Linked DNA regions of Oryctolagus cuniculus. The protein of the gene in region 3 purifies or fractionates together with the protein of the main gene of each other region. This does not show direct contact. Links are inferred from orthologs where the notes say so. Each region holds a gene or a part of one and is shown on either strand. Other genes may lie near its edges.

The links.
Region 1: the proteins of EIF4G1 (region 3) and EIF3J purify together in Homo sapiens (affinity purification with western blotting; 3 studies listed by BioGRID and IntAct, with this or other methods). This does not show direct contact. The link is inferred for Oryctolagus cuniculus from reciprocal best matches to the Homo sapiens genes EIF4G1 and EIF3J.
Region 2: the proteins of EIF4G1 (region 3) and PDCD4 purify together in Homo sapiens (affinity purification with western blotting; 3 studies listed by BioGRID and IntAct, with this or other methods). This does not show direct contact. The link is inferred for Oryctolagus cuniculus from reciprocal best matches to the Homo sapiens genes EIF4G1 and PDCD4.
Region 4: the proteins of EIF4G1 (region 3) and EIF3G purify together in Homo sapiens (affinity purification with mass spectrometry; 3 studies listed by BioGRID, with this or other methods). This does not show direct contact. The link is inferred for Oryctolagus cuniculus from reciprocal best matches to the Homo sapiens genes EIF4G1 and EIF3G.
Region 5: the proteins of EIF4G1 (region 3) and USP10 purify together in Homo sapiens (affinity purification with mass spectrometry; 4 studies listed by BioGRID, with this or other methods). This does not show direct contact. The link is inferred for Oryctolagus cuniculus from reciprocal best matches to the Homo sapiens genes EIF4G1 and USP10.
Region 6: the proteins of EIF4G1 (region 3) and MKNK1 purify together in Homo sapiens (affinity purification with western blotting; 3 studies listed by BioGRID and IntAct, with this or other methods). This does not show direct contact. The link is inferred for Oryctolagus cuniculus from reciprocal best matches to the Homo sapiens genes EIF4G1 and MKNK1.
Region 7: the proteins of EIF4G1 (region 3) and EIF3A purify together in Homo sapiens (affinity purification with western blotting; 4 studies listed by BioGRID, with this or other methods). This does not show direct contact. The link is inferred for Oryctolagus cuniculus from reciprocal best matches to the Homo sapiens genes EIF4G1 and EIF3A.

The regions. Positions count from the first base shown.
Region 1 is NC_091443.1:67,472,157-67,476,169, reverse strand, and holds the start of EIF3J (eukaryotic translation initiation factor 3 subunit J), read right to left. Parts: upstream 2,801-4,013; 5' UTR 2,627-2,800; coding exon 2,584-2,626; intron 2,497-2,583; coding exon 2,393-2,496; intron 1-2,392. UniProt on the Homo sapiens protein: Component of the eukaryotic translation initiation factor 3 (eIF-3) complex, which is required for several steps in the initiation of protein synthesis.
Region 2 is NC_091446.1:19,364,552-19,368,051, forward strand, and holds part of PDCD4 (programmed cell death protein 4), read right to left. Parts: intron 2,463-3,500; coding exon 2,349-2,462; intron 1-2,348. UniProt on the Homo sapiens protein: Inhibits translation initiation and cap-dependent translation. May excert its function by hindering the interaction between EIF4A1 and EIF4G. Inhibits the helicase activity of EIF4A. Modulates the activation of JUN kinase.
Region 3 is NC_091435.1:93,890,456-93,894,476, forward strand, and holds the start of EIF4G1 (eukaryotic translation initiation factor 4 gamma 1), read left to right. Parts: upstream 1-1,221; coding exon 1,222-1,281; intron 1,282-1,514; exon of another isoform or gene 1,515-1,574; coding exon 1,575-1,661; intron 1,662-2,162; coding exon 2,163-2,183; intron 2,184-2,750; coding exon 2,751-2,927; intron 2,928-3,146; coding exon 3,147-3,246; intron 3,247-4,021.
Region 4 is NC_091447.1:67,187,206-67,191,339, forward strand, and holds the start of EIF3G (eukaryotic translation initiation factor 3 subunit G), read left to right. Parts: upstream 1-1,334; 5' UTR 1,335-1,463; coding exon 1,464-1,483; intron 1,484-1,623; coding exon 1,624-1,670; intron 1,671-1,972; coding exon 1,973-2,056; intron 2,057-2,157; coding exon 2,158-2,246; intron 2,247-2,367; coding exon 2,368-2,427; intron 2,428-2,825; coding exon 2,826-2,930; intron 2,931-3,026; coding exon 3,027-3,216; intron 3,217-3,396; coding exon 3,397-3,504; intron 3,505-3,585; coding exon 3,586-3,722; intron 3,723-3,814; coding exon 3,815-3,921; intron 3,922-3,988; exon of another isoform or gene 3,989-4,122; coding exon 4,123-4,134. UniProt on the Homo sapiens protein: RNA-binding component of the eukaryotic translation initiation factor 3 (eIF-3) complex, which is required for several steps in the initiation of protein synthesis.
Region 5 is NC_091449.1:66,213,479-66,217,628, forward strand, and holds the start of USP10 (ubiquitin carboxyl-terminal hydrolase 10), read left to right. Parts: upstream 1-1,350; 5' UTR 1,351-1,467; coding exon 1,468-1,488; intron 1,489-4,150. UniProt on the Homo sapiens protein: Hydrolase that can remove conjugated ubiquitin from target proteins such as p53/TP53, RPS2/us5, RPS3/us3, RPS10/eS10, BECN1, SNX3 and CFTR.
Region 6 is NC_091438.1:126,227,834-126,231,333, forward strand, and holds part of MKNK1 (MAP kinase-interacting serine/threonine-protein kinase 1), read left to right. Parts: intron 1-977; 5' UTR 978-979; coding exon 980-1,079; intron 1,080-3,100; coding exon 3,101-3,198; intron 3,199-3,500. UniProt on the Homo sapiens protein: May play a role in the response to environmental stress and cytokines. Appears to regulate translation by phosphorylating EIF4E, thus increasing the affinity of this protein for the 7-methylguanosine-containing mRNA cap.
Region 7 is NC_091446.1:11,586,359-11,589,858, forward strand, and holds part of EIF3A (eukaryotic translation initiation factor 3 subunit A), read left to right. Parts: intron 1-84; coding exon 85-773; intron 774-3,500. UniProt on the Homo sapiens protein: RNA-binding component of the eukaryotic translation initiation factor 3 (eIF-3) complex, which is required for several steps in the initiation of protein synthesis.

The DNA.
Region 1 (4,013 bases), on a different chromosome or scaffold from region 3:
CAAAGACCCAAGTTCTCTTATCATTTTCCAGGACATTACAAATGACATTAACATAAATTCTTAAAGGTTAAGTACTAGATTTCAGATAAACTAAAGAACACATTACTTTGCTTTTGAGGACTTTTTTAATTCACATATTCTGTGACTTAAGGACCATGATTATCTGACTTCAAGGAAGCTAATTTTGTTTGCATCTTTTCACAAAAATATTAAGCAATAAACATCAGAATTTAGACATGTGACTCACTACTATGCAACAGGACAACTTTTCAACTCTAGACTGATAACCTCCAGGCAAGCAAACTTGTGCTTGCTAACTTTCCATAATGTCTACTTACTACAAACTTCATTAATGGATTGACCATAGTTATCAAGCCAAAAAAATTAATACTGTAACATGAAATGAGACAGAATTAATGTTTATTGAGTAACTACCAACTGGTAGGCAAATCAGCTTAATGTTTGACGTATCTCGTTTAAAACACAAAACAACCCTCTGAGATAGGCCCTACAAAGACCATTTACAGATTGGAAAACTGTAACTTGCTTATGACAAATCTACAAAATGTCAAGGCAACAATATGAAACTAGGTCTTACTCCGAACCCAGGAATCAAACTACACCCTGGATACCACATCTTGAAACTCAAACAAAATAAGCTAACATTTCAACACAGGGATATTAACAGACAGATTCAGCTTCCACGCTCCAGGATCAATATTAAAGTGCAGGTAAAAGAATTATTATCATTTATATAAAATTCTGCACTGGAAGAGTAAATAGACAAGATTCTCCTTGTGGTTCCTAGCAATATATAAATCTCCAAAACTAGTTCCAAGTGATCAGAATTATATTGACCAGCACTGACTTCATTTAGATACCATGAAACCAGCAACTTCATGGTAATCAACCCAGACTGCTCCATTTAAACTTTATTTTCTGGGACTTCTTTTTTGATTTCTCCAATCTTTTCATTACATTTTTCTTTGCAAATGTTTTGACTGTCATGTCCCGTATGCACACAAAGAAAAAGGACAAATCTGAACTCAAGGCTCAAGACTGAAAATGTATCACACTGTGGAGAGGTAACTAATATCTTGTAAGGAAACTGACAATACAATCCAGTCCTAAGTTTACATAATACATAAATGAAGCATCTAAGTATCTTCAGTCAGTAACAGTACTACCTATTCACTCCAATGTGTGCAAAGCTCATATCATTCCTGAATCTGAGGCTATTGGATACAATTGCACACTTTCCCCTATGAGCCCTGGGTGCAAAGGGAACAATTTAAACAGCAGCACCATTAAGCGCATCGTGATTATCTGGTTTAAAGCTTCAACCCAAGCAGAAAGGTAAAGAGCTAAACATTCCCTAAAATTTCCATTTCATAAAAAGCTCTGTCTGCACAGATACAAGATTTTTAAGAACTTTTTAATAAAAGTTTTAACATTCTGGACTTGTGACTTTTGCTTAAAAAAAAAAAAAAAAGGGCAAGAAAGCCACAGAAGTCAACGTTATCTACAGTCACAAGATGAGCCCAGGAGAGTTCACAAAAACAAACAACGACGGTGAATATGGTTGAGATCCACAAGGCACAGGAAAAATATAAATACTGGGTCTTCCAATCATTAACTCTTAAATGTTTTCTTGGGCGTCATTCACGTTGTAGTAGACGAAAAACTGTCAACTCTCCATTTTCCAGGTCACTGTGTGGACTCCCAAGGTCCACTAACTTCTGGCCATCTCAGTTCTCAGTTCATCCTTTTTAACCACAGGGTGGGGGAAGGGAGAGCTCAAAGTTACTTCACTTTACTGCTCCTATTAATCTCATGTGGGAAGAAAGGATGAAATTAACCCACAACATTTCACCCACCTAACTGCTTGAACAAACTCTCTAAACAGGCCTTCGGAGTCATAAATGAAGTTGCTGGCTCCGGGGAGACCTGAGTTCAGACAGGCAGGCGGGTTTCAAGACTTTCCATATGGGATAAACCATGGCGCTCGAGCCCCAACTTCCCAGTCTCATCCTTGGCGAGAAGCTCCGGACCGCGAAGCTTGCACGTGGGCCGGCCTGGTTGCTGCTGTCACATCTCGTCGCCAGTCGGCAGGTGGGATCCAGGCCCGAGCGCGGACCCCCCAAAGCGGGGCTGGGGTCGGCTCGCCACTGCCTTCGGCCAAAGAGTCGAGAGGCCACACTGCCCGCCTGATCCACATGGTCGCCGAGCGGAAGGAGAGAGGGCACCATCGGGCCCTAGGCTCGTGCCTGGACCCGCGGCTCCCAGGCCCGGGCGGCGCCCCTGGGCCGGGAGTTCGCCCGCCGGCGGGCAATCCCGCCCGCGACAAGGCTGGCCCATTCCCGGGCTGCCCAGCGCCCCAGCCCGCACCCACCTTGACGTCTTCATCCTCGTCCTCGCCTTCCCAGCGGTCCCCACCAGCGGTGCCGCCGCCCCCCACCTTCCGCACCGGGTCTTCCACGGAGAACGTGTCCGCGTCTACGGAAGAGAGCGAGCCGCGTTAGTGCCTGCCTCGGCGTGGGGCCGGCATCGGCCCGGGCCCTGCCCCCGGGGACTTCGCCTCACCCCAGGAGTCCGAGTCGCCCGCCGCTGCCGCCGCCGCCGCCATCTCGAGCCGGGTGTGAGCGTGTGTGAGGGGAGAGCTGGCGCGGAGTTAGCGCGGCGGAGGTGAGTCACTGGCTTTGCTCTCGTTGGCCCGCGCGGGGCAGGCTGGGACCGTGGCTGACTGTGCGCCCGGGCCGAGGCCCCGCCCCTCCTGGCGGCGCGGGCGACGCGCACTGCCGGGGCGGGGACTGAGGCGGGCGGCGCGTCCAGCTCCCCACGACGCGGGACTGTGCTGCGGGCTCGCGGGGCGGTGGAACTGTCTACCCCAGCGTGGGTCCCGGGGAGGAAACGTGAGTGCAGGGAAGTGGGCGGGGCGGTCCCCCGGCTTGGCGTTTGGCCCTCGCTGGCCCTCACCGCCCCTCCCGCTGTTCTCGGAGATCCGCGCCCGCCGCCGCTGGCGGATGGTGTTCTCTCCGTGCGGCGCGCGGACTCGGGCTCTCCGCGCCACGCCCGCCGGTGTACGCGGCGGACCGGCCTCCCCGACCTCTCTCCAGTGCAGTCGAGCTGTAATGAGCAGGGGATCCTCTTGGAAAGCCGGCGTGTGCGGGGCGTCGAGGAACGAGCGAGGTGGACAGACCGCGTCCGTGGCGGCCTTCCCGATCCGGATGGCCAGAGCCACTCCGAACGCGGTTGCGTCCAGTTAGTCACCAGTGGATCGAAGACAGCCCCAGCCCCCTAGGCTTTTCCAAACTTCCTGGGAGCCCCCTGAGGCCAGCACATTGATTCATTCTTTTACAGACCAGTTTTGGGGCTCTGGTGCCTGCCTTGGGTATAAGCTCTAGCCTTGTCCTCCCCAAGTAGCAAAGACGGACAGGTAAACAGATTTCGGCACAGTGTGATGACTGCAACTGAAAGAAGCATTATGAGGTTACTTGTAAATAGGTGACATTAAGGGCAGCGGGCGCTGGAGGGTGCAGGAAAGGCTTCCTGGGGTTAGGCGCGGCGAAACGGCAATCGGAAAGACCCAGAGAAATTTGCTCGAGAGCATTTCCGGTAGAAAGAACGCGCGGTGCCCCTCATCTGGCTGGCGCCATTGGAGGTAAACCGAACAGGTAAACTGAACAGTAAGGGCTTGAGATGGGCTAAACTCTCTGCCCCTGGGGCCACTGGGCTCCCCTGTAGGACTTTAAGGGGTGGGCGGTTTCAGATGTTTTTATTTTGGTTTTATATTTATAACTTGCTACAATATCTGAATTTTAAAGAGGTAGAGGGGTGGGTGTTCAGGCTAGCGTAGGAGTGCCTGCTTGGCACTGATTTCCTGCTTCCTGCTCATGTAGGTACTAGGAGGCAGTGGTCGTGACTCAGATGCCTGGGTGTCTGCCACCCACATAGGAGACCTGGGTTAGTGCTCTTGTGGGCATCTGGGGAATGCTCCAGCAGATGGGAGCTCT
Region 2 (3,500 bases), on a different chromosome or scaffold from region 3:
GTAAAGCCGCTGCCTTCAATGCCAGCATCTCATGTAGGTGCCAGTTCGAATCCCAGCTGCTCCACTTCCAATCCAGCTCTCTGCTATGGCCTGGGAAGGTAGTAGATGGCCAAAGTCCTTGGGCCCCTGCACCCTCATGGGAGACCAGGAGGAGGCTCCTGGCTCCAGATTGGCACAGCTCCAGCCAGTACAGCCAGCTGGGGAAGACCAATTGGAAGACCTCTCTCTCTGCCTCTCCTTCTCTCTTTCAAATAAATAAATAAATCTTTTTTTAAAAAAAAAGCTTATTAAACTACATATCTAAGTTGGGTATTAAGAGTTAGCTAACCTTCTGCCTCATAATCTATTAGTGTTATTTCTAGGAACGTTGTTTTATAACTGAATGGAGAGTCATTTTACACTACCGGAAGTTGTTTATATTCTACTTTTCTTCAAACCTTTCCACAAGAATTTATACTTTCATGTAAATTTAAAATGAGATCTTAAGTAATTGTTTTTAAGTGGTATTAACATGCTAGGATAAAAGAAATTTTTCCTATTAAATACAGTTAGAAAAGAGTAAGTTCTAGAGTTCTATAGCACAATAGAGTGAAAATAGTTTGTAACAATTTATTATACACACCGATGCATCACTTACACTGGAAATACATTCTGAGAAATCCATCAGTAGGCAAGTCCATCATTCTACAAATATAATAAAGTGTACTTGAACTAGGACAGCTATGATGTCACTAGGCAACATCCTGGAGTTACGTGGTCACTGACAAAGTCTAATATAGCGCAGAGTGGGAGGACTGTGTTCTCAACACAAAATGATGTTTGAAGTGATAGAAATGCTAGTTGCCCTAATTTTATCACTATATACTGGACCTACATATATCAAAATATACTACATCCCATATACTTGACATGTAGCGTCAAGTATCAAAAATGTATATATAAAATAGCCCAATACTTAGTAACAGCCAATTTATAGTATCTCATTTAATATTCAAAATAATATTTGAGTACTACATTGTAACTTCATGCCTATATTACCCAAAGCCCAGAAAAATATTAAGGGATGGCTGAGGGCACACAGGACTGGCCAAGCTAGAAATGGAATTAGGCAGTCTAGTCTAGAGGCTAAGTTCTAACTGAGTGACTTGGAGTGACTGCCTCTTTACTGAAGGTTTTCTTAGACTCTTTAAATCATGGTGTATTATGAGGGTGCCAGAATTATTTTCACAGCCATGTACTGGTGCCTTGGTAAGTAGTCTCCACTCCCCACTCCATTTCATCTTCCTCAACTGAACTTTAACAAGTTTCTCATTAATTTCAAACATGATACTACTCTTTCCAGAAAACTCTCTTCAACCATTCTTTAGCTGCTGCAGAATCATCTGTTGCTCTCCATGTTGTATTTCTTTAAAACTGCTCATAGCACTACTCAGTAACAGAATACACTGTTGGTTCTACACTAGGAAAGACACCCAGATTTCAACAATCCCTGTCTACACATATCTAATAATAGAGTATTTTACAATATGTTTTAATAATCTGTTTACACACGATTTCCTTCACTTGACTGAGCTTCAAAAGGACAGGAATTATCTTTCACAAATTCCTACATGTGGTATGCACTGAACAAAGAGTTGTGTTAAAATTCAACAAATCTAAAGATATCAAACCTCACAATATCAGGCAAATCAAGCAAGTCCAGCCTGAATTTCAAGAATCTACATTATCAAAATCTTACAAATGGTACAATTATATTACTTTAGCTTAGTAATCCCAACTATACCAGTTGTTTTATTTTATCCTTCTAGATTTATGAGCAATTCATAATTAGCACAGTAAATATTCCCCTATAAATTTGCTGTTAAAAAATCTAAATTTTATTCTTTTGGTTTATTTTTTCAAATCTTTATTTTGGTGTTCTCAATTTTTTGAACAGAGTACAAAGATAAACTTCATCCTAATACTGAACACGGAAATAAGTGTCAAATAAATGAAACTGAGTCAGGCAGTCTTAACTTAGGTCTCTGAAGAGGTTTCAGAGGGTCCATAAATGCCCTGAAATTGCTAAAATTATATTGTATAAATTACAAAAATGTTAAAGTTTACACATTATCATTCTTAAAATACTATAGCTATGCCATTTTTCAGGGAAGAAAATGACACATAGCTTTTACCACATCCCAAATATGTAACAACTGGTTTAACATAAAGAGATTTTATTCCACTGCTTAGAAATTCATTTATGCAAAAGAAAATGCTTGTTTACTGATCCAAGGTCATCCTAGATATGTTTTGTTTATAACAGTATTTTCTCCATATATTAAATAAATTTGTAACCTTAAACCTACCGCAACTTCATTAGTATCTCCATGCTCAAAATATTCCTGTATGATTGGTGTCAAAGTTTTCTCAAATGCCCTTTCATCCAAAGGCAAAACTACAGTTTCATAAACACAGTTCTCCTGTGAGGGGCAGGGAGAAGAGTTATAAATTAAAGAACAACATTTCAGGTAAATGGAAACTGTTATATAATTTTACTAGTATATTCTACATGGTTAGTAATCTCCATTTAGGGCAAGATAAAGAAATGGCTGTTTTGATCACTTATATTATTACAAGTGAAATCTATAGGTCACTGTTCTTTTACACGATGTGAATACAGTAAGTCAGTGTACAGACTGAACCATTAGCTACAGCAAGTGCGACTTGCTCCCAGCTCCTTTTTCTTGTGTTAATTTATGCCTCTCAAAAGCAACCTTTCAGTAACCAACAAGTTTTAAGATGGCTTCCTAACACATTAAGTATTTCATTTACACTTCCATTTTTTAAAAAATGAAGCAGAAACCAAAGCCTTCATTATTTGTATTATCATCAAGTGTAACAAAAATCAACGCTATAGTAAGCCTGGGAAATCTTAAGACTGAAAATCACTGTTTAACTGAAATTTCAAAAAATAAGATTAATGTCCATCATTAAAGCATCTCTCTCTCCCATACAAGAAAAAATCTCTTAAGTGTTTGTTTAGAAACATGTTACTGGCTTCAGTCTAACACATATTTCACTTGATCTTAGCCAGAATGCCTAGAAGCGATAACATATGCTTCAAAGACTAATGAATATCTGTATTTCTAATATTCTCTTAGAAAAATTTCTAGGAGGCCAGCACCGTGCTTCACTTGGTTAATCCTCCACTTGCGGCGTCGACATCCCATATGGACGCCGGGTCTAGTCCCGGTTGCTCCTCTTCCAGTCCAGCTCTCTGCTGTGGCCCAGGAGGACAGTGGAGGATGGCCCAAGTGTTTGGGCCCCTGCAACCGCATGGGAGACCAGGAAGAAGCACCTGGCTCCTGGCTTCGGATCGGCGCAGCACCGCTGTAGCAGCCATTTGAGGAGTGAACCAACAGAAGGAAGGCCTGTCTCTCTGTCTCTCCATCTCACTGTCTAACTCTGTCAAATAAATAAAAATTCTATGCCCAACTATTAAAATAGGTAACTACATA
Region 3 (4,021 bases):
GGATCTGTGCGGGGAGCCGGAAATGGTTGTGGACTACGTCTGTGCGGCTGCGTGGGGCTCGGCCGCGCGGACTGAAGGAGACTGAAGGTAAAGCCGCCATGTCCGGGCCCGACCCGGCCCCCCCACCCCCTCCCCCCGCATCCGCCGCCATCCGGGCCGGGACCGGCCACCCTGCACCGCCGCCCCGGCGCCCCGGCCCCGCGGCCCGAGCTCGGGCCCCTACCCGCCAGGGCTCGATCCCCGGCCCACGTGTGTCCGGCCTGGCCGGGCCTGGCTGCTGGGTGGGGGTGGGGGAGCGCGGGGCCGAACTATGTGGGCCCCGCGGGCTGGGAGGGCGCCGGGTTCGCCGGTCGCGAAATGCCACTCGGGCCCGACCCGGGGAGGCCCGGCGGCCCGCGGGAGCAGCACCGCGGCCCCAGGCCCGCCGCCCCCCCTTCGCGGCCAGGCCGCCGGGAAGTGACACGTTGTTCTTTGGCACTGGCCGGCGCTGCGCAGGGAGGGCGCAGGGGAGGGAGGCGGCGGCGGCGGGCAGGGAGGAGCCCCCGGCCCCGCCCGCCCTCCAGGCCGACCCTCACTTGCTTGAAACCGGCTCGCCGCCGGCCGCCAGCCGCCGCCCGCCTGGCTTTTTAAAGCCCGCCTCCCGCCCTTCCTGGCCTACACTCCTGGGGCGGCGGCAGGCCTCGCCTCTGGCCCTGCGCGGGTTGCCCCCGCGGCAAGCGTATCTTCTGCGCCCCTGGGCCAGGCCCCGAACCCGGTGTCCCCGGGTGGGGGGTGGGGACACCACGGCCGAAGCAGCTAGCTCCGTGTGTGATCCGGGAGCCTGGTGCCAGCTTGACCTGGAATTTCCGGTCTGGTTGGTCTCGGGTCCCGCGGAGCCAGGTTGATACCCCTCACCTCCCAACCCCAGGCCCTCGGATGCCCAGAACCTGTAGGCCGCACCGTGGACTTATTCTTAACCGAAGGGGTGAGTGAGGGGGCTCTTTTCAGCAGATCAGGGTGGGTGGATGGAGGTAGTGTGGATCTGACACCGTGTTGGTGGGGTGGGGACACAGCCTGAGTTTTTTCTGCTCCTTCCTCCCCTGGCACCTCCGGCGCTTCGTGTTGGACCCAGCTTCAACCCTTCCCCCACTCTGTTTGCCTTAAGCTTGGGTCCGTTCCCCTTTCCAAGCTTCACTCTTTCCCAACAGGTGCTGGGGGGACCCTGATGTGGCACCAAATGAAATGAACAAAGCTCCACAGCCCACAGGCCCCCCGCCCGCCCCATCCCCTGGACTCCCACAGGTAATTAGGGAGGAATTAGCTAGGGTGGGGGTGGGGGAGACCAGGCCGCCTCAGGAACAGGTTCTAGCCTCTGGATTTTCCCACCCCCATCTGTGTCAGGGCAAAGTGCAGCTGCCTGCTGCCAAATTGAGACAGGTCCCCTGGATGTCCCCAGGGGCTGTCATGGGGAGGGGGTGTGTGGACTGCCGAGGCTCTTGCTGCAGACCTGCCCCCCTCCCCCCCTGTTTCACCAGCGTGGGTTTCAGCCCCACCCGGGCTTCCCCTCTTGCTGAACTCTGGTCTCCCCCCTTCAGCCAGCGTTTCCCCCGGGGCAGACAGCACCGGTGGTGTTCAGTACGCCACAAGCAACACAAATGAACACGCCTTCTCAGCCCCGCCAGGTGAGGGGCTGTGGGGAGGGGAGTAGGGGGCCTGGGTGGGAGCTGTGGACGGCTTAGGGCAGTGTGGACCTGGGGTGGAAACTGGAGGCTGTGTGCTGGCCTCAGTTTCCTGGCAGTCGGTCTGTGTCCTCTCCTGTGGCTCTGCACTGTGTGCTGTTGGTTACTTATGGTGGCTGGCCCCTGGGGAAGTATGTCGTCGGCGAGGGGGGCTTAACTGGGGTCCGGATGCCTCTGAAAACTGGGGGCAGTGCTTTAGCCCCTGCTGCCCACTTTGCCTCTCCTGGTTCTTTCGCTGAGAGGTTGCCATTGCTCCAGTCCCCTTTCTTGCCTTCTTTTTGGACTATGGCAAGATAAACACTCTGGCTGGTTTCTTGCCTTCTTCTGTTACCTGAGTTCTTCCTTACTAAGTGGGAGGATTCTTGTCCCACTACTTAGATTTTTTTTTAACCCCTCATCTCCTTGGGGATAATTCTCTTCTTTCCTGTCCCCATGTGCTCTCAGGGAGGATTCAGGTCTCTGCAGGTAATACCCCTTTCCTAATCCTGGACCGTGTCCTGGTCTCACTTTCCCCTCTGCCTTAGGGTCTACAAACAGGGAGTGGGGGGTCTTCAGGGTGGGGACTTTGTGCTGGTTGGGTCCTTAGTTTGAGGCTGAGTAGTGCATGTTAGGGGCTAAATCCTGAAGAGTGTATCTGGGAACTGGGAGACTTGCATGTTAGTAATGAGTTTCTCAGGACCTTAAGTGGAGCAGTGCATGCTGGGGAGGGAGGATGTCCCTGAAAGGGCCTTAGGCATGATGCATCTGGGTGTTAGGGAGCCCCTCCAGAGGGCCAGTGTGGTGGAGGTGACATATGTATGCATGGCAGTGAGAATCAATACACACAAACGCCAAATGTTCGTCTGAGTTTGGAGGCTGTGTGTGAGTATAAGAGGCCACTTAACCATCAGTTGGTCAAGTGTGTCTTGGAAGGATTGGTCTTTATGCTCTGAACCCCACAGTACTTTCCAGACCATAGAGGCATTGTGGAGGTACTAGTTTGCTGCCCGCTTTCTCTCTCTCAGTGCCAACCTCTTTCCTCCCTCCTGACAGCACTTCTACCCTAGCCGGGCCCAGCCCCCGAGCAGTGCAGCCTCCCGAGTGCAGAGTGCAGCCCCTGCCCGCCCTGGCCCAGCTGCCCATGTCTACCCTGCTGGATCCCAAGTAATGATGATCCCTTCCCAGATCTCATACCCAGCCTCCCAGGGGGCCTACTACATCCCTGGACAGGTGAGGCTGGAGGCTTGGGAGCCATGCACCTTGTGCTGTAACCCTCGCCCCTTCCTGCCCCAACCCTCTTGCCCTGTCTCTTCGTCAGAGATGGGACTTCTGGTCATTGCCCAGAGTTGGCTTGTCCTATCTTGCCCTGCATTCTGTTTGTAGTCTGGTATGGTACTCGTAGCTTCCTCAACTCCTTCTCTTCCCTCTTCTCCCCCCCTCCCCCACCAGGGGCGTTCCACATATGTTGTCCCGACACAGCAGTACCCTGTGCAGCCAGGAGCCCCAGGCTTCTATACGGGTGCAAGCCCTACAGAGTTTGGGACCTATGGTAAGCAAGAGAGGGAGTCAGAGGTGAGAGTGCTTCCCAGGGAACTTCAAAAGTGATCTACTGATTTCTAAAGCCTAAGACCCTTCTCAGGCATGGCTTTGGGGTTAAAAATAATAGGGTTAATAGTTAGTAGGGATTGGTGCTTAATGTTTAACTGGTGTTGGTGGGGGATAAAGACTTGATTTCTGTTGCCAAGGGAGTTGGAGTCCTGCCTGTGTCAGGAACGCAAGCCCAGGCTCCAGCTTGAGGGCCTGGTGGGCTTTCCCGCGACGCTGTTTCTATGGTGGTGGGGAGGTGGGGGGCATGTGACATGGATTTGTGGCTAGTTTTCGTTTGTATTCTAGGAAAGTACTAGTCTGTTCTTTATGGCAGTGGTTTCCAAAACTTTGATCATTGACTGTGTACTTTTAAAATGTATATATGTGTGTGTTTGTATATATGTGTGCATAAGTTAAACATATAACATGACACTTGGGAAATCAAGTGTAAATCATGTATGAGGTTAAAGAATGCTCCCACTTTGGAGACCATTGCTTTAAGGAATTACTTTTTCTTTCTCTTGGGCTTAGTTCATAATGTTACTTTTTGTTTCCTTGCCCCTCTGCAAAGGGCTGGATACTGGAAGGAGACTAAGGTTGAGTGGAACAGGCTTAGCACATCTTTTTCTCATTCCTAGCCAGAGACTGAGTTTCTTTCAGATTCAGAGTGGTATGTGTGTTGCTTTGGGGGGGGGGGGGTGTATGCACAGGAGTATCTTGGAGAGTAGAACAGACCT
Region 4 (4,134 bases), on a different chromosome or scaffold from region 3:
CTGACTCACAGCAGCCTGGGGGGCGGGGGTCACTGTGTGGACCAACGCTACCTGCACTTCCCTAGACGGCCACTTGGTGGCGCTTGCACCACAGCCTCACCCAGGGGAACGCCAAGTTTACAAAACCCTTGATTTCCTGCCCTTCCAGCCGCAGGGCCCTGAGCGTCCTTGCGCACTCGGCCCTGCTCTCCTTGGACGGGAGGCTCCGGCGCCGCTGGGTTAGCGGGAAGCTGGGATTCGAAGCGGAGCTGGGGCAGAGCCTCCGCCACTTCGGCAGGGGAGCCGGCGCGGCCCAAGCTGTGTCTGAACGGCTGCCCGCCCCAGCGGTTTTATTTTTAAAGATTTTATTTGACTTATCTGGAGGGAGAGACAAAGGTCTTCCATTCACTGGTTCACTCCCTAAATGGCTGTAACGGCTGGAGCTGAGCCAATCCGGAGCCAGGAGCTCCATCCGGGTCTCCCGTGCAGGAGCAGGGGCCCAAGGACTTGGCCCATCCTCCACTGCTTTCCCAGGCCACAGCAGAGAGCCGCATCGGAAGTGGAGCCCCGTGGCGTGCCTCCCGGCTCCCTCCTGCCCGGGCTCCACCACCCCGGACGGTGCTGTGTCTGCCCTGGGCCGTGGTGTCCAGCAGTCAGCCTAGTACTTGCTGTGTCCACACAGAGAGCTTACGTTGTCTGTGCCTCCACAGCTCGTCCATAACTGGACGTTAGCAGACGTGGCAACTCCAGGAGCGGGTCCTGAGCCTAGCGGCTGTCCCCGGGGCCCCATATCGGAGCTCCTGCAGCACCCTGGGAGGCAGGAGGTGATGACGGCTCAAGGAATGGGGTTCCCGCCACCCCTGTGGGAGACCCGGATGGAGTGCTCGGCTCCTGGCTTCGGCCTGGCCCAGCTGTGGCTGCTTTGGGCATTTTTAGGGGGTGAGCAGTAGATAGGACATCCCACTGGTGTCTTTGCCTCTGAAATAAAAATTTGTTTAAAATTGGGTTGTTTGAAACTCTCCTGTCAAGTCTTTAAGAAAGGTATTTATTAGGCAATTAGATCTTCCATCTGCTGGTTCACTCCCCAGATGTTTACAACAAGCAGAGTCCTGGGCCAGCCCAACACCAGGATCCAGGGGCTTCTTCCGGGTCTCCCGCGTGGGTGCAGAGGCCTGAGCCCTTTAACCGCCATCCGCTGCTTTCCCAGGTGCATTAGCAGGGAGCGGGATCGGAAATGGAGTAGCCGGGACTCGAACCGGCGTCCATGTTGCATTTCCGGTCAACCCTGGGAGGCGCCTAGCCGCCTCTACCCGCTTTGGGTACCAGCGCACACGGCGGCGCCTCCACGCCCGTCCGCACGGGGGCGCTGCGAGCATCCTCGGCCGGGTCGCTCTAGGCGGCGGCGGCGGCTGAACCGGAAGTCTCTTTCCTCCCCCACTTCCGCTCTCTGGCCCGGGCTCGGGCTGCGTGGAGAAGACTTTGCAATGCCGACGGGAGACTTTGAGTGAGTCCGGGGTGGCGGCGGGAGTCTCGGGAGACAGTGTGGGGGGGTCCTGGGGGACTCTTAGGGGGCCTGGGTCGCGCGGGGCTGCCGTCGTCCGGCCTCGCCGCCCCAGCTCTGTCCCCGCACGCTTGTCCCCGCAGCTCGAAGCCCAGCTGGGCCGACCAGGTGGAGGAGGAGGGCGAGGACGGTGAGTTCCCACGCGGCCCCCGGCCCGGGGCAGTGCCGCCCCGCTCGGGGCCGGGGCCTGGCCCCTGCCTTGGCCACTGCTCAGGGCCCCCCGGCACCTCCGCGCGCGGCCCCCGCCCCGCGCCACCCTCCTCGGGGCCAGCCCACTGACCCCTCCCGTCCTGCTCGGGGCCGGGGCCAGGCGTGGCGCCCGCGGGGTCTCCCGGCCCGTGCCCCACCCTCACGCCAAGGACCCCCGTGCCCTGGCCACTGCTCAGGCTGCCCCCGCCCCTGGGGCTCACCCCCGCCCGCCCCCTCCTGCAGACAAATGTGTCACCAGCGAGCTGCTCAAGGGCATCCCCCTGGCCACCGGCGACACCAGCCCGGAGCCTGAGCTGCTGCCCGGGGGTAAGTGACAGCCTCCGCCGCGGCCCTGGCCACCCCACCCCCACCCCCCGCCCGGCCCGCCGCTCCCAGGGCTCAGTTCCCCTCCCCGTCCCCCTCCTCAGCCCCACTGCCGCCCCCCAAGGAGGTCATCAACGGGAACATCAAGACGGTGACCGAGTACAAGATCGATGAGGACGGCAAGAAGTTCAAGGTGGGCCGGGGCGGGGGCTTGGGGTGCAGGCAGTTCAAGGTGGGCTGGGGGAGGGGCGTGCCGGGGCCCTGGGCGGGGGCTTGGGGTGCAGGGGGCCCACCCACTGCCCTCGCACCTGCAGATCGTGCGCACCTTCAGGATTGAGACCCGGAAGGCCTCCAAGGCTGTCGCGAGGAGGAAGGTGAGGCCCCCGCCCCCGCAGGGCTGACCCGGGAGCTGGGGACCCCTGTTCCAGGGGGAGTTGAGCTTCCGGAGGCCGGGGTGTCTGCATGTCTCTTGGGGCCCTGAGAAACTCGGGGTGCAGGAGCGGCTGGGGTTGGAGGGGGTTCCCCCGCTGTGCCCCTGGCTGGCGGCAGGCCCCGTGCCAAGCCCCTGGCGCCCGGAGAGACCCAGGGAGGCCGGGAGCTTTGGTGGTGCTGGCTTCACCGGGGAGGGACCCCCGCCTGCCCCCCCCAGCCTGGGCCTGGCATGGAGCCGCAGCTGCCCCTGTTGCGGGGTGGCTGCCGTGGTATGTGGGTGCCCAAGGCTGTGGGCCGTCGCCCGCTCCTGCCCTGACCTGACCCCCTCCCCGGAGCCCAGAACTGGAAGAAGTTTGGGAACTCGGAATTTGACCCGCCGGGGCCCAACGTGGCCACCACCACGGTCAGCGACGATGTCTCCATGACGTTCATCACCAGCAAAGAGGTGGGCGGGGCCGCGGGTGGGGGCGGGGTGGGGCCGCAGTCGGGGGCGGTGCAGGCCGTGAGCCCCCGCCTCCCCGCTGACCCCCGCCCCCCCCAGGACCTGAACTGCCAGGAGGAGGAGGACCCGATGAACAAGCTCAAGGGCCAGAAGATCGTGTCCTGCCGCATCTGCAAGGGCGACCACTGGACCACCCGCTGCCCCTACAAGGACACGCTGGGGCCCATGCAGAAGGAGCTGGCCGAGCAGCTGGGGCTGTCCACGGGCGAGAAGGAGAAGCTGCCGGGAGGTAGGCCCGGGGGCCCTGGCCGTGCCCTGGCCGTGCCCTGCCCGTGTGCTGCGGGCCTGCGCGCCCCCGTGGGTTCTGGCGGTGCCCGTGTTGCTGGCAGCGCGTGCAGATGGTGCCAGCGTCCGGGACGTGCCCTGGGGGCCGCCCGCCGGGCCTGACGCCGGCGCCCTCGTCCTGCAGAGCTGGAGCCCGTGCAGGCCGCCCAGAACAAGACGGGGAAGTACGTGCCCCCGAGCCTGCGCGACGGCGCCAGCCGCCGCGGGGAGTCCATGCAGCCCAACCGCCGAGGTGAGCTGGGCGCCCTGGGCGTGGGGGGGGCGGGCGCTGGGCGGGGCCTCCCCCGCTCAGCCAGCTGCCCCGCCCACACAGCCGACGACAACGCCACCATCCGCGTCACCAACCTGTCGGAGGACACGCGCGAGACGGACCTGCAGGAGCTCTTCCGGCCCTTCGGCTCCATCTCCCGCATCTACTTGGCCAAGGACAAGACCACTGGCCAGTCCAAGGTGGGCGGGGCCCGGGCCTGGCCGTGCATCCTGGGGCTGAGGGCGGTGCCCGGGCGGTGGGCAGGACCCTGACCTGGGCTCTGCCTCGCCAGGGCTTCGCCTTCATCAGCTTCCACCGCCGGGAGGACGCCGCGCGCGCCATCGCCGGGGTGTCAGGCTTCGGCTACGACCACCTCATCCTCAACGTGGAGTGGGCCAAGTAAGACCCCGCCCTGCCCCGCCCCGCCCCCCCCCGCCCCGCCCTGCCCCAGCCACCGAGCCTGTGTGCAGCGACAGCGCTTTATTGGCCTGCAGCAGGGCCCGTCCCCGCGCGCGGAGGTCCCACAGGGAGCCCAGGGACACCCTGAGGTCCCAGGCGCCAGCCGCGTCAGCCCCCCTCCCTCCCTCCCTCTCCCCGCAGGCCGTCCACCAA
Region 5 (4,150 bases), on a different chromosome or scaffold from region 3:
TATTTATTTGAGATTTATTTATCTGTTTGAAAGTCAGAGTTACAGAGAGAGAGGCAGGGACAGAGAGAATCTCCCATCTGGTTCGCTCCCCAGATGACCACAACAGCTAGGGCTGGGCCAGGCTGAAGCCAGGAGCCTGGAGCTTCTTCCAGGTCTCCCACATGGGTAGCAGGGGCCCAAGCACTTGGGCCATCCTCTGCCGCTCTTCCCAGGCCATTAGTGGGGAGCTGGATCTGAAGTAGAGCTGCCAGGACAGGAGCCAGCACCCATATGAGATGCTGGTCTTGCAGATGGTGGCTTTGCCAGCTTCGCCACAATGCTGGCCTGGGGGCATTCTCTTCACAAGCTCAACATCATCATCACGTGATGAAAGTCAGCAGTAATTCACTCATCATCTATATGTAACCCGATTTCTGATCTGTCTATCACAAAACAAGCCGCAGGGGCCAGCAGCGGGCATCCCACAGGGACTCTGGTTCAAGTCCCGGCTGCTCCACTTCCAGCCCATCTCCCTGCTAATGCACCTGGGAAAGCAGCGGAAGACGGCCCACGTACTTGGGCCCCCTATGTCGGAGACCCGGATCCAGCTCCTGGCTCCTGGCTCCGGCCTGGCCCAGTCCTGGACGCTTGGGTCATCTGGGGAGCGAACCAGCGGATGGAAGATTTCTCTCTCTCTGTAACTCTGACAACCAATCCTGAAAACAAACAGTAACACCAGCTTGCAACACTGGGGATTCCACCGAGACCCAATGTATCTCACTGCGGCGTCTTTGTAGCGCTTCCTCCGCACACTGCCCGGCCACTGGGGCTGCGCCGGCTGCAGGATGCATCACCGGGGGCTGCTCGACCCGGGCTCCCCGTGGGCGCGTGACAGCCGCACACACGGTGGCAGCCCGCGCTCGGGGGGCTCCCCGGACCCAGGATGGTGGCCAGGCCTCACGGCAGGCGCTTCACCTGTGTGCCTGGCTTCGGTGCTTCTGGCTTTGGGTTTGCAATGCCCGCGTAAGGCGTGGCTCGGAGCCAGGGCCCCGGCAGAACCGCGAGGGAAGCAGTGAACGAACGCACGGGAGGGCGACTCCGCTAATCTGGAGACGCCCTCCTCGGGGGTCTGATCAGCCAAGGGAGACTCTCCTGGAGCAGCGAGGGCCCCGGGGGCTGGGGGCACTAGCTCCCCCTGCACCTGCACGCCCTCTCCCCATCAGGCCCGCACCTGCCCGAGCCGGCGGGGCTCACAGTCCACCGGCCCGGCTCCCGCGGCCGCCCGGCCCGGCCGGAGGCGCCCGCGCACGCCCACCTGCCGGCCGCGCACGCGCAGCAGCGCCCCGGCCGCCCGCGCCCCGCGGCGCGCCGCCAGTGCGCAGGCGCGGCGGCCGATGCGAGTGTGTATGTGCGGGCGAGAAGATGGCGGCGGCGGGGGAAGCAGCGTGAGCCGCCGGGCCGCGCCGAGTCCCATTCAAACGGGCCGCCATGGCCCTCCGCAGCCCGCAGGTAGCCGGCGGCCCGCGCCCCCGGCCGGAAGGGGCCCGAGCCTGGGGGAGCGCGCGCGGGCGCGGGCGGCCGGGAGCGAGCGTGTGGGGTGGGGGAGGGCGCGGGACCCGCCGCCCGGGCCTAGGCCCCGGGGCCGCCGCCGCCGCCCGGTTCCCGCTCCCCAGTCCCCGGCCCCGCGGCTTCCCGGGGCGAGCGGGGCGCGGCGCGGCCCCGGGGTCTCTGGCGGCGCCGTCGGCGCGCCCGGGCCTGCCGCCGCCGCCCGCGCCCCGCGCCCCACGCCCCCGGGCCGCCCCCAGCGCCGTGGACCCCGCGGGACCCGCCGGCGCGGGTGGGCCGGGGGCCGGGGCCGCTGAGGACAGCGGCGCGGGCGTGCGGGTGCCGCGGGGCCCGGGGCGGCGCCGGCGGGGGGCGCGGCGGCGGGGGTCCCCTGTCGCGCACGGGGGGGAGGTGCTGGGGGCGCGGGGCGCGGGCTGGGGGTCGCGCCGGCCGTGGACCCCGGGCTGGGCGCCGGCTGAGCCCCGGGCCCCGGCGCCGGCGCCTGGGCGGCCGCCGCGCGCCTCTGAATGAGAGGTGGGAGAGCGGCACAAAGTAGGTGCGGGGCGGGCGGCGGGGCAGCTCCCGCCTTGCCGCGCCGCTTTGTTGGCGGCGGCTCCCCCGGGCGGGCCGCGGGCCTTTCCTTAAATATGCACGGACAGCACCTCTCGGGGGGCTCCGCTCTTGGGGCGCCCGCTCCGGCGTGCCGTCGGAACTTCCCGGTACTCGGGTCGCCGGGCAGCCGGTGCGTCGCGGGCTTTTCCCCCGGGAGGCCTGGCGTGCGTTTCTGCGGGCTTCGCGTGCACAGAGGCTCCCGCACTTCCTATACTCGGTGCCCGGGCTCGTTCGCGGAGGCCACGCGTGCCTCCTGGCGATGGCCTTTGCGTCCGTGGCCCGGGACTTGTGCCTCTGGCCAGCGCGAGACTGACCTGCGCCTCGGGGCCGAGCGCGGTTGGACCCCTCTTCCTTTCCTGTCTAAAAGAGAGTGGTGGAAGGAAGCAGTGGCGTCCTGAGCAGGGTTTGGCTGTTGGACCGGCCGGGTCTCGGTCACGCTGTCCCGAGAGTCTGGGCGCTTGGGGCCCCGTCATTCATTCAGCAGCGATCGCCGAGCCCCGAGCCAGGCAGGCTGACCCGGTACGAGGTAGCTATCGCAGTAGCAGCCCCAGTTAGCCTCCTTTACAACCGACTTGTTAAGGCTACAGTTTTACAGTTTTGTGTGGATTGTAGCCTGTTTCCATCATACTGGGAAGTGTTGGTTGAGCCCATTCCCTGCGCGGAAGTGGAGCAGTGAAGTTGGAAACATTTTGAGTGCCGCTGGCTTGGGAGGGTTGAACCCTGTTGAAGAGTAAGTGTGTCTGCTCCATGAGTGTCTGTGGTCCCGAGGGACCTGCGAGTGCCTGGCTGACGCCTCCCTGCCCCGGAGCCTCACAGCGCTGAGCGCCCCCCCCCCCAGTCTTCATCCCCTGGGGGCTGTGGGGACCCGCCGGGTGTGGTGACATTCCTGCAGTGTGCTGGGGTACTGACTGTATGTAGAGGGCGCATCCCGAGACTAGATGCGATGCCACAGGTGTGTGTTCTCTGTCACCTGAGTGGGCGTGGCGTGTCTGGTGCCAGCGGCCCCCATCCAGGGCCTGTCCTCCGTGTGGCTGGGCCCAGAGTGTTCTGAAGTGGCCCTGAGAGAAGCGTGGCCCCCTGCCCTCTGGGTTCCTCTCCAGAGCAGACGCCGGGCCCGTGTTCCAGCGCTGTCAGGGGAAGGGACGTGGCCCTGAGGCTGGACGCCGGCTTTCAGCCCAGACCTGGGGGCGTGGGCACATGCCGTGCTCAGAACACACTCAAGGGGTGGGGGAACCGGGGTCGTCTCCACTCGAATTAGTTACAGTGAGGCTATTTCGTTTTGCCTTCTTTTTTAAATTTATTTATTTGTTTGGAAGAGTTACAGAGAGCAAAGGGAAGATGTACAGAGAGAGAGAGAGAGACCTTCCGACTGTTGGACACTCCCCAGATGGCCGCAGTGGCTTCTTCTGGGTCTCTCACGGGTAAAGGGGCCTAAGCACTCGGGCCACCTTCTGCTGCTTTCCCAGGCCGTTAGCAGGGAGCTGGATCACAAGAGGAGCAGCCAGGACTCGAACCGGTGCCCATGTTGGAAGTTGGCATTACACACGATGGCTTTACCTCCTGCGCCGTGACACTGGCCTCTTGCTTTTTTATTTTTTATATATTTTTAATGCAGATTTCAGACCTGTAGGTGACTCTTGCTAGGTCTGCTTCCCCGTTAAGCCTGGCTGCTGAGGGCGCCGCTCCTGCTGGCCTGCTGGAGAGTGAAGGGTTAGGACGTGCTTGCTCTTGAATTTGCACGCGGCTGCCCCGCTTCTATTCACTGCCGCACATGCAGGAATCACCGTGGCACAAAGCAGACAAATCTGTCTGCGGTGGAGTTTGCTGGCCTGGGGCCGCTGGATTACTGTCATCTGTCACTTTAGTGCCACTTCAGCAGTGTAGGTGTCGTTTCCAAAGACTCGCATGTGCTTGGGCTGCACTTTTCCTGGTGATCGGTGTGGTCACGCAGAGGTCTTTCCGGGACCGTTTTGTCAGTACTGGCTGGGTTAAGAGCTGGGCGGGGGGGCAGCGC
Region 6 (3,500 bases), on a different chromosome or scaffold from region 3:
ATCAGCACTCGAGTGCCTCTATTTTAGAAGGATGTAAAGGTTTAATCACCCTGGTGGGGATTTAGACCAGAGACTTCAGAGAAATCTTATTATTTCTAACTGCAGGCAAAGAGTATTAAGGCTCCACTCTGGATCAGGGGCATGACATGTTCTATAAGTAATTTATCTTTCACAGGGGACGGCCCGAATGGAGTGTCTTAGGAACAGTCCTGTGATTGGGCCCTGGCTCACTGGTCCTCCTGTCTGAGCCCCTGCCTGACTCTCCTGCCCAGTGTCTGGAAGTCTGCCTCACGGATCCTCCCTTGAAGACGGGGGGCCAGGTGCATGCCAGTGAGAGAGAATAATGTCTTTGCCACAGTGACCTTACCCAGCAGCCTGTCGGGGACCTCTCGACCACAGGCTTCTGGAAGGGCCAGGGAGGGGAGAGGATGCTGTGGGCTCCACTGGCACTCGGTCTGTGCTGCGGGACGTGGAGGATTTTAAGGTCATTCTCAACCTGCTGCCAGCCCTCTTGTGAGCGCTCCCCCAAGGGGGGTCACTGAGCTTGTGGTTTGTCTGCACACGCCCCTGCTCCCACCCACTTCTCGCCCAGCTCCCTGGGTCCTGCCTTTCGGGTGCTGAGACTAGAGGGCGTCACAGGTGGAGCTGTGCTTGCAGAGTCATTATTCGGTTGGGGAAATACAGTTTGACTGGTGGCAGATCTAAATCCATGCGCTAATGAGCTTGGTTAAAGCAGGCTTCTGCTATCCTCCTTTAATCTAGCCTGCCTGTCTGAGTTCCTTTCCACAGTTAATGATCTCCTATAATGGTTTTGCCTTTAGTTTTGCCTTCTGGGTCAAAACAAATCAATAGTCCTCACAGATATTTAAAAACCATCCGTGTAAAGCTCCTGGTCCCCCTCCCTCTTTCTCTCCTGGGTGAACTTGGAGCCTGATCAGTACAGTGGTGTTCCCCTGACCTGTCCTCTTCTCTCCCAGAGATGGGCAGCAGTGAGCCCCTTTCAGTCGCAGACAGCGAGAAAAGGAAGAAGAAGAAGCGGAGAGCCCGGGCTGCCGACTCCTTGCCGGGGAGGTTTGAAGGTCGGTATCACAACTCTCCTAGCCCTGGGATGTAGCTCCCCAAGCACGGGGAAGCATTCTGTTGCCCGTGGGTCTGGATACCAGGCTGTGCCATCCTGGAGCCAGCAGGGGTTAGCTGTGTGATTCGGGGGAAGGATGGGCTGAGCAGATTGACACAAAGGTGGGACAGAGAGAGCAAGGTTGGGGAAGGCTCTCGAATGATGCACTGGCCCCCATCCATGGGCCAACACCACCTCAGAGGGCGTGTGTGGAGTGAGACTGCCCAGGGTGCACGTGCTCCTCTTCAGCTGATTCTTCCCTGGCTGTTCCTGGAGGGGCTGCTGAGAAGTAGGACGGCCATATTAGAGGACGCAAGAAACACCAGGGGCCGGGGCTGCAAATGAAACTTCCATCATGTGTAAGCAAAGAATTTGCTCCTAGAGATTGCAGCTGCTCGTGCTGCACATGCTTGATCCCGTGTTAAAGAGTGCACGGGTGTTCCGGAAGTGCCGTGTTGGGTCATCGGACACTTCTAGACACCATCCCCACGTGGGGCATATGACTCAGTGCTGATGCTGTGGTCATTGGGTGATCGGAGCTAGGGTAGGTGGACCATAGCCACTTCTATAGGGGACAGACCAGATCAGAAGCTAGTGCTAGGAGTAACTTGTCCCCTTCAACTCTTGTTTCTCTCATTGTGAGGCCCTCATGGTCCCTCTTCCCAGCCTTGCAGACACACCAGTAAGCTGGCTGTCTTGTAGAGTGGTTCTAATAACATGTGCTTATGAGTTGGGAATATGGCGCCCCAGCACCGACCTGTGCTGGTGCGTGTAAAGGCCTGATGGCAAGGTGACCATAGGGAGAAAGATGGCATTTAAAACGCCAGCAGTGTGCCACCATTCTCATGAGCAGCTGCAAGACCAAACTGCGATGGAGCCAAGAAGGTACTTACTGGAGGGGTTTGGAGTTTGTCTTCCCTTAACTTAGACAGTGGACATCTATGTGTACATGTGCATGTGTGGCAGGGGAAGATGGGTTACAAATGCCCCAGAGGTTTTAGAACAGTTTCCAGATCAGCAGGTCTTTTGCTCTCTCAGTGAAAATGAGAGTGTTTACTGTTATCTGAGGATTGCTTGTGCAGTTATAGAAGTATTCAGCTCAGTCCGCGGGCTTAAATGAGAGGAAGGTGCTGAGAACAGGGAGGTCAGGTCAGCGAGGGCTGTGGTGGAGATGTGGCCTCCTTTCGAGAGCGCTTAGAGAACCCATGCTGTCTGTAAGCTTGGGCAGGCCACCCAGTTGTTCTCAACCCAGGCCTGTTACTCTGTCACAGCCACTCTGACTCAGTGCCCTAAAACCTCGAAGCATCGTTTGCAGGCTACTTCCGTCTCTTATTTCCTGTGGCTGACTTCTGGAAACTTCTCAGAAACCTCCAGTGACGTCCACTTTCTGTGGTGTAAAACGGTGTTCTACTCCCCGTTGTCTCAGCAGTGCTTAGCAAGGAGCTCGCCACAAAGCACATGCTCCGCAGAGCGTTCCCTCTCCAGGAGGATGGCCCAGACTGCCCGAGCGGATTCAACCTTTCCCTGTCCCTGCTGTTCTCCCTGCGCCTTGTCCCTCAGGAATAGTTCTTACCAGTGCCGGGGCCATTCTGAACCACTCGTGTGTGTAGCTGTCAAGCCTGCGGGCCTGTGACCGCTGGAGGTGAGGGACTCGAGCCTCTCCTCGTTCTGCCCCTCCTGTGCTGTCTGACACTTAGTAGGTGCTCAGAAGCATCTGCAGAACGGAAACCCCAATCCCTCCAGCAACCTCAACTCTCAAAAGAGGAACAGGATGCCTTCCGTGTGGTCTCGTTGAGAAACCGAGTCCGGAGATGACTGGGAGGTGACGCGTCTTTCTCGTCAGCAAGCGTGCCGTGGTCATTGTGCGCCTGTTCGGCCTGTGCCGTCACAGCGGGGAAGCTGGGTGCCGGAGGCGCCTCTTCCCACCCCAGCTTGCAGTGGGATGACTCACCTTGTTATTCCTCTCACCCATTTCACCTCTAGATGTGTACAAGCTGACCTCTGAGTTGCTGGGAGAGGGAGCCTATGCCAAAGTTCAAGGCGCCGTAAGCCTGCAGAGTGGCAAAGAGTACGCTGTCAAAGTGAGTGTCTCGTCTGCACGCCAGGCCCGGCCTTGCAAACAGCCATTCCTAGCTTGCCCTAAACCAAACGAGTTTCAGATTCCGCAGAGCTGTCTTCTCTGGATACAAATCTTACCTTCTCTACTTACTGGCTGTGTTACTCCTGGCAAGCTACTTAACCTCTCTGTCCTTCCATTTCCTCATCTGTAAAATGGATGTAATAGCAGAACCCTTACAGAACTATTTTGAGGATTGAATAATAATAGGTGAAGTGCTTAGAACAGTGCTTGGCTGATGACCAGCCGCTTTCATGATTCTGACAA
Region 7 (3,500 bases), on a different chromosome or scaffold from region 3:
TTTTTGGTGAATAAAAGATCATTCCCCAAGAGATTCTGTGCTTTTAAGACGCTTACCTTTACAACTTGGCTTGCTGCTCTGCAGGGAGTGGCGACGTGGAGAAGGGCGGGATGACGAGCGGTCTCACCGAAGAGATGAAGAGCGGCCGAGGCGTGTGGGGGACGATGAAGACAGAGAATCTTCTCTTAGGCCAGATGATGACCGGACTCTCCGGCGTGGCATGGAGGACGACAGAGGCCCCCGGCGTGGTCCCGATGAAGAGAGGTTCTCTCGCCGTGGGCTGGAGGACGAGCGGCCTTCCTGGCGCAGTGCAGACGATGATCGGCCTCCCAGGCGGATTGGTGAGGAAGACAGGGGAAGCTGGCGCCATGCAGAGGATGACAGGCCACCTCGAAGAGGACTGGATGACGACAGAGGAAGCTGGCGGACAGCCGATGAGGACAGAGGCCCAAGACGAATGATGGATGAGGACCGGGGCCCGAGGCGAGGGGGTGCTGATGATGAGCGGCCTTCCTGGCGGAGTGCTGATGATGACCGGGGTCCCAGGCGGGGCATTGATGATGACCGGGGTCCCAGGCGAGGGCTAGATGATGATCGAGGACCTTGGAGGAATGCCGACGATGACAGGATTCCCAGACGGGGGGCTGACGATGACAGGGGTCCTTGGAGAAACATGGATGACGACCGGATGTCAAGACGAGCTGATGATGACCGGATTTCCAGGCGGGGCGAGGACTCCAGACCTGGTCCTTGGAGACCGTTTGTTAAGCCAGGTAAGGTTCTGGTATTCAGAAAACTAGATGGGGTGCTTGGAGCCTGCTTGATGTGTTTCCATGTGCAAAGTGAAACTTCTTAAGTGACAAAGAGGGCTGTTACCTGTTCTGTGTGAACTGGTATTTTATCTTTCTTAGAGTGTCAGTGAAATGATGTTTACCAGAGGTTTGCCAAACAAAACACAACACCTGAAGTCACCAAGTCACCGGCCCTTCTGTGTGCTGACGCTTTGCTTGTTTGTCTTCTGCCTCCTTGCTTCTCTGGAGGCTCTTCCCGGGCCTGACCTATTGGTGTGTTCTTAAAAACAGTTAGAACCAGAAAGTACTTTGTGACTATTTGTGCACACGCACACGCCTGCCGGTTGTGAGACTGCATGGAAAGAGCTCATTGTCTCAGTCCCAGGCCTGCTCTTCCTTCCACGTGTGCTGCCCTTGAGGAGTTGCGTGCATGCGTGATGTCTGCCGGCACCTGCACGTGACTTCTGCCTGTAGCTGGGCTGTGCAGTCCGACCTCTCAGACTCAGCCCTTTCCTCTATGTCTGACCCCACCCCCACCCCCACCCCCACCCGCACACCCCACTTCCTTCAGGGGCACTACTGTCCAGCTACTTTGATAAGCTACAAATCTGGGCGGTCACCTTTATTCTGTTTCATCCTTTTGTTAGAGCTTTAATTTAGTTCAGTTCTGCCATTTTGATGTTCCTCACATCTGCCCATTTCTTTCTCTCTTCTCCCTGTTTATGCTTGGTCTGGGTCTTTGGAATCTCCTCTTGCCTCTTAAACATGCGTCTGCCACCTCTCCCACTCCCAGTTTCTTTTTAGAATGTATGTTTACTTTACTTGAAAGGCAGAACAACAGAGAGGTATCTTCCATCTGCTGGTTCATTTCTCAAATGCCTACAACAGCCGTGGCTGAGCCAGACTGTAATAACCAGGAGCCTAGAACTTCATCTGGGTGTCCTCCTGGGTCGCAGGGACCCAAGCATTTAAGCCATCATCTGCTGACAACCAGGATGCATTAAGAGGAAGCTGAGTGGGAATTGGGAACAGTTTCCTAAGAGGCAGCTTGATGTGCTGTGCCACAACACCGGCCCCCTCTAGTCCTCCCCGCTTTGTTTCTAGTTTTGAGAGTGAAACCAAGACCATGCTTCTTGTCCACCGTTTTGCTCCCCTAAATGCCTGTAGTGTTTGGGAGTGGGCCAGGCTTAAGCTGGGAGGCAGGAACCTAACTGCTTGAGCCATCACTACTGCCTCTGACGCCCCTCATTATCAGGAAGCTGGAGGTCAGAGCTGGACAGTGCAGTCACTAGAGCAGTGTGTTCTACGTTCAGATCTAAGTGAGCAGCCTGCTTGCTTTTACTCGTAGAGCTATCTGCTGCATTCTTCTTCTTTTTTTTTTTTTGACAGGCAGAGTGGAGAGAGAAAGGTCTTCCTTTGCTGTTGGTTCACCCTCCAATGGCCGCCGTGGCCAGCGCGCTGCAACTGGCGCACCGCGCTGATCCGATGGCAGGAGCCAGGTACTTATCCTGGTCTCCCATGGGGTTCAGGGCCCAAGGACTTGGGCCATCCTCCACTGCACTCCCTGGCCACAGCAGAGAGCTGGCCTGGAAGAGGGGCAACCAGGACAGAATCCGGCGCCCCGACCGGGACTAGAACCCAGTGTGCTGGCGCCGCAAGGCGGAGGATTAGCCTAGTGAGCCGCGGCGCCGGCCCTGCATTCTTCTTGTCTCACAGTTGAGCTGTGGTCCTGGGCAAGCCACTTAATTTTTCTGTGCCTAATGTAAGTGGAGTTAACAGTATAGTGGATTTCTTTCTTTTAAGATTTATTTGAAAGAGTTACAGAGAGGAAGAGAGGTCTTCCCTCTGTTAGTTCACTCCCCAAATGGCTGCAGTGGCCGAAGCTGAGCTGTTCCAAAGCCAGGAGCCAGGAACTTCCTCTGTACATGGGTTCAGGGACCCAGGACTTGGGCCATCCTCCTGCTTTCCTAACCACATTAGCAGGGAGCTGGATCGGAAATGGAGCAGCCAGGACTCGAACCGTGCTCATGGGATGCTGGCACTACAGGCTGGGACTTCAACCTGTTGTGCTGGCCTGACAGTAAATCCTTTTAAATGGTGGTTGTTGTATTTTGTAAAGTAGCTTTGAATACTGAGGAAGTGTAAGGTTAGGTTCCTGTGAGCCTGAGAGGTTACAGCTTTTTGAGAGCCATGTTTTATGCCTTTTTTTTTTTTTCCCCAACTTAGATTTATTTAAAAGGCAAAGATGCAGAGATAGAAAGGGAGAGATATCTTTCATCCAGAGGTTCACTCCCCAAATGGGCTGGGGCTGGGCCATGCCGGAGCCAAGAGCCAGGAGCCAGGAGCCAGGAGCCAGGAGCCAGGAGCCAGGAGCCTCCTCTAGGTCTTCCACATGGGTGCAGGGGTCCAAGCACTTGGGCCGTCTTCTGCTGCTTTCCCAGGCACATTACATGAGTAGGGAGCTGGACTCGAACTGGCACCCATATGGGATGCCGGTTTTACAAAGGTGGCAGCTTAATCTCCTTCACCACAGCACAGCAGAGCCCATCTTTGTGTTTTAAGATACTTTATTTAATATATAACAATATTGATTCATTAACATTGAACTCATGGCAAAGAAAGTTGCCTAATACACATATTTTTTCCTTAAGGCACATCACAGCCTTCCTGTACTTGGGAAACTATGACAGTACTATGCTTGGGGACCAT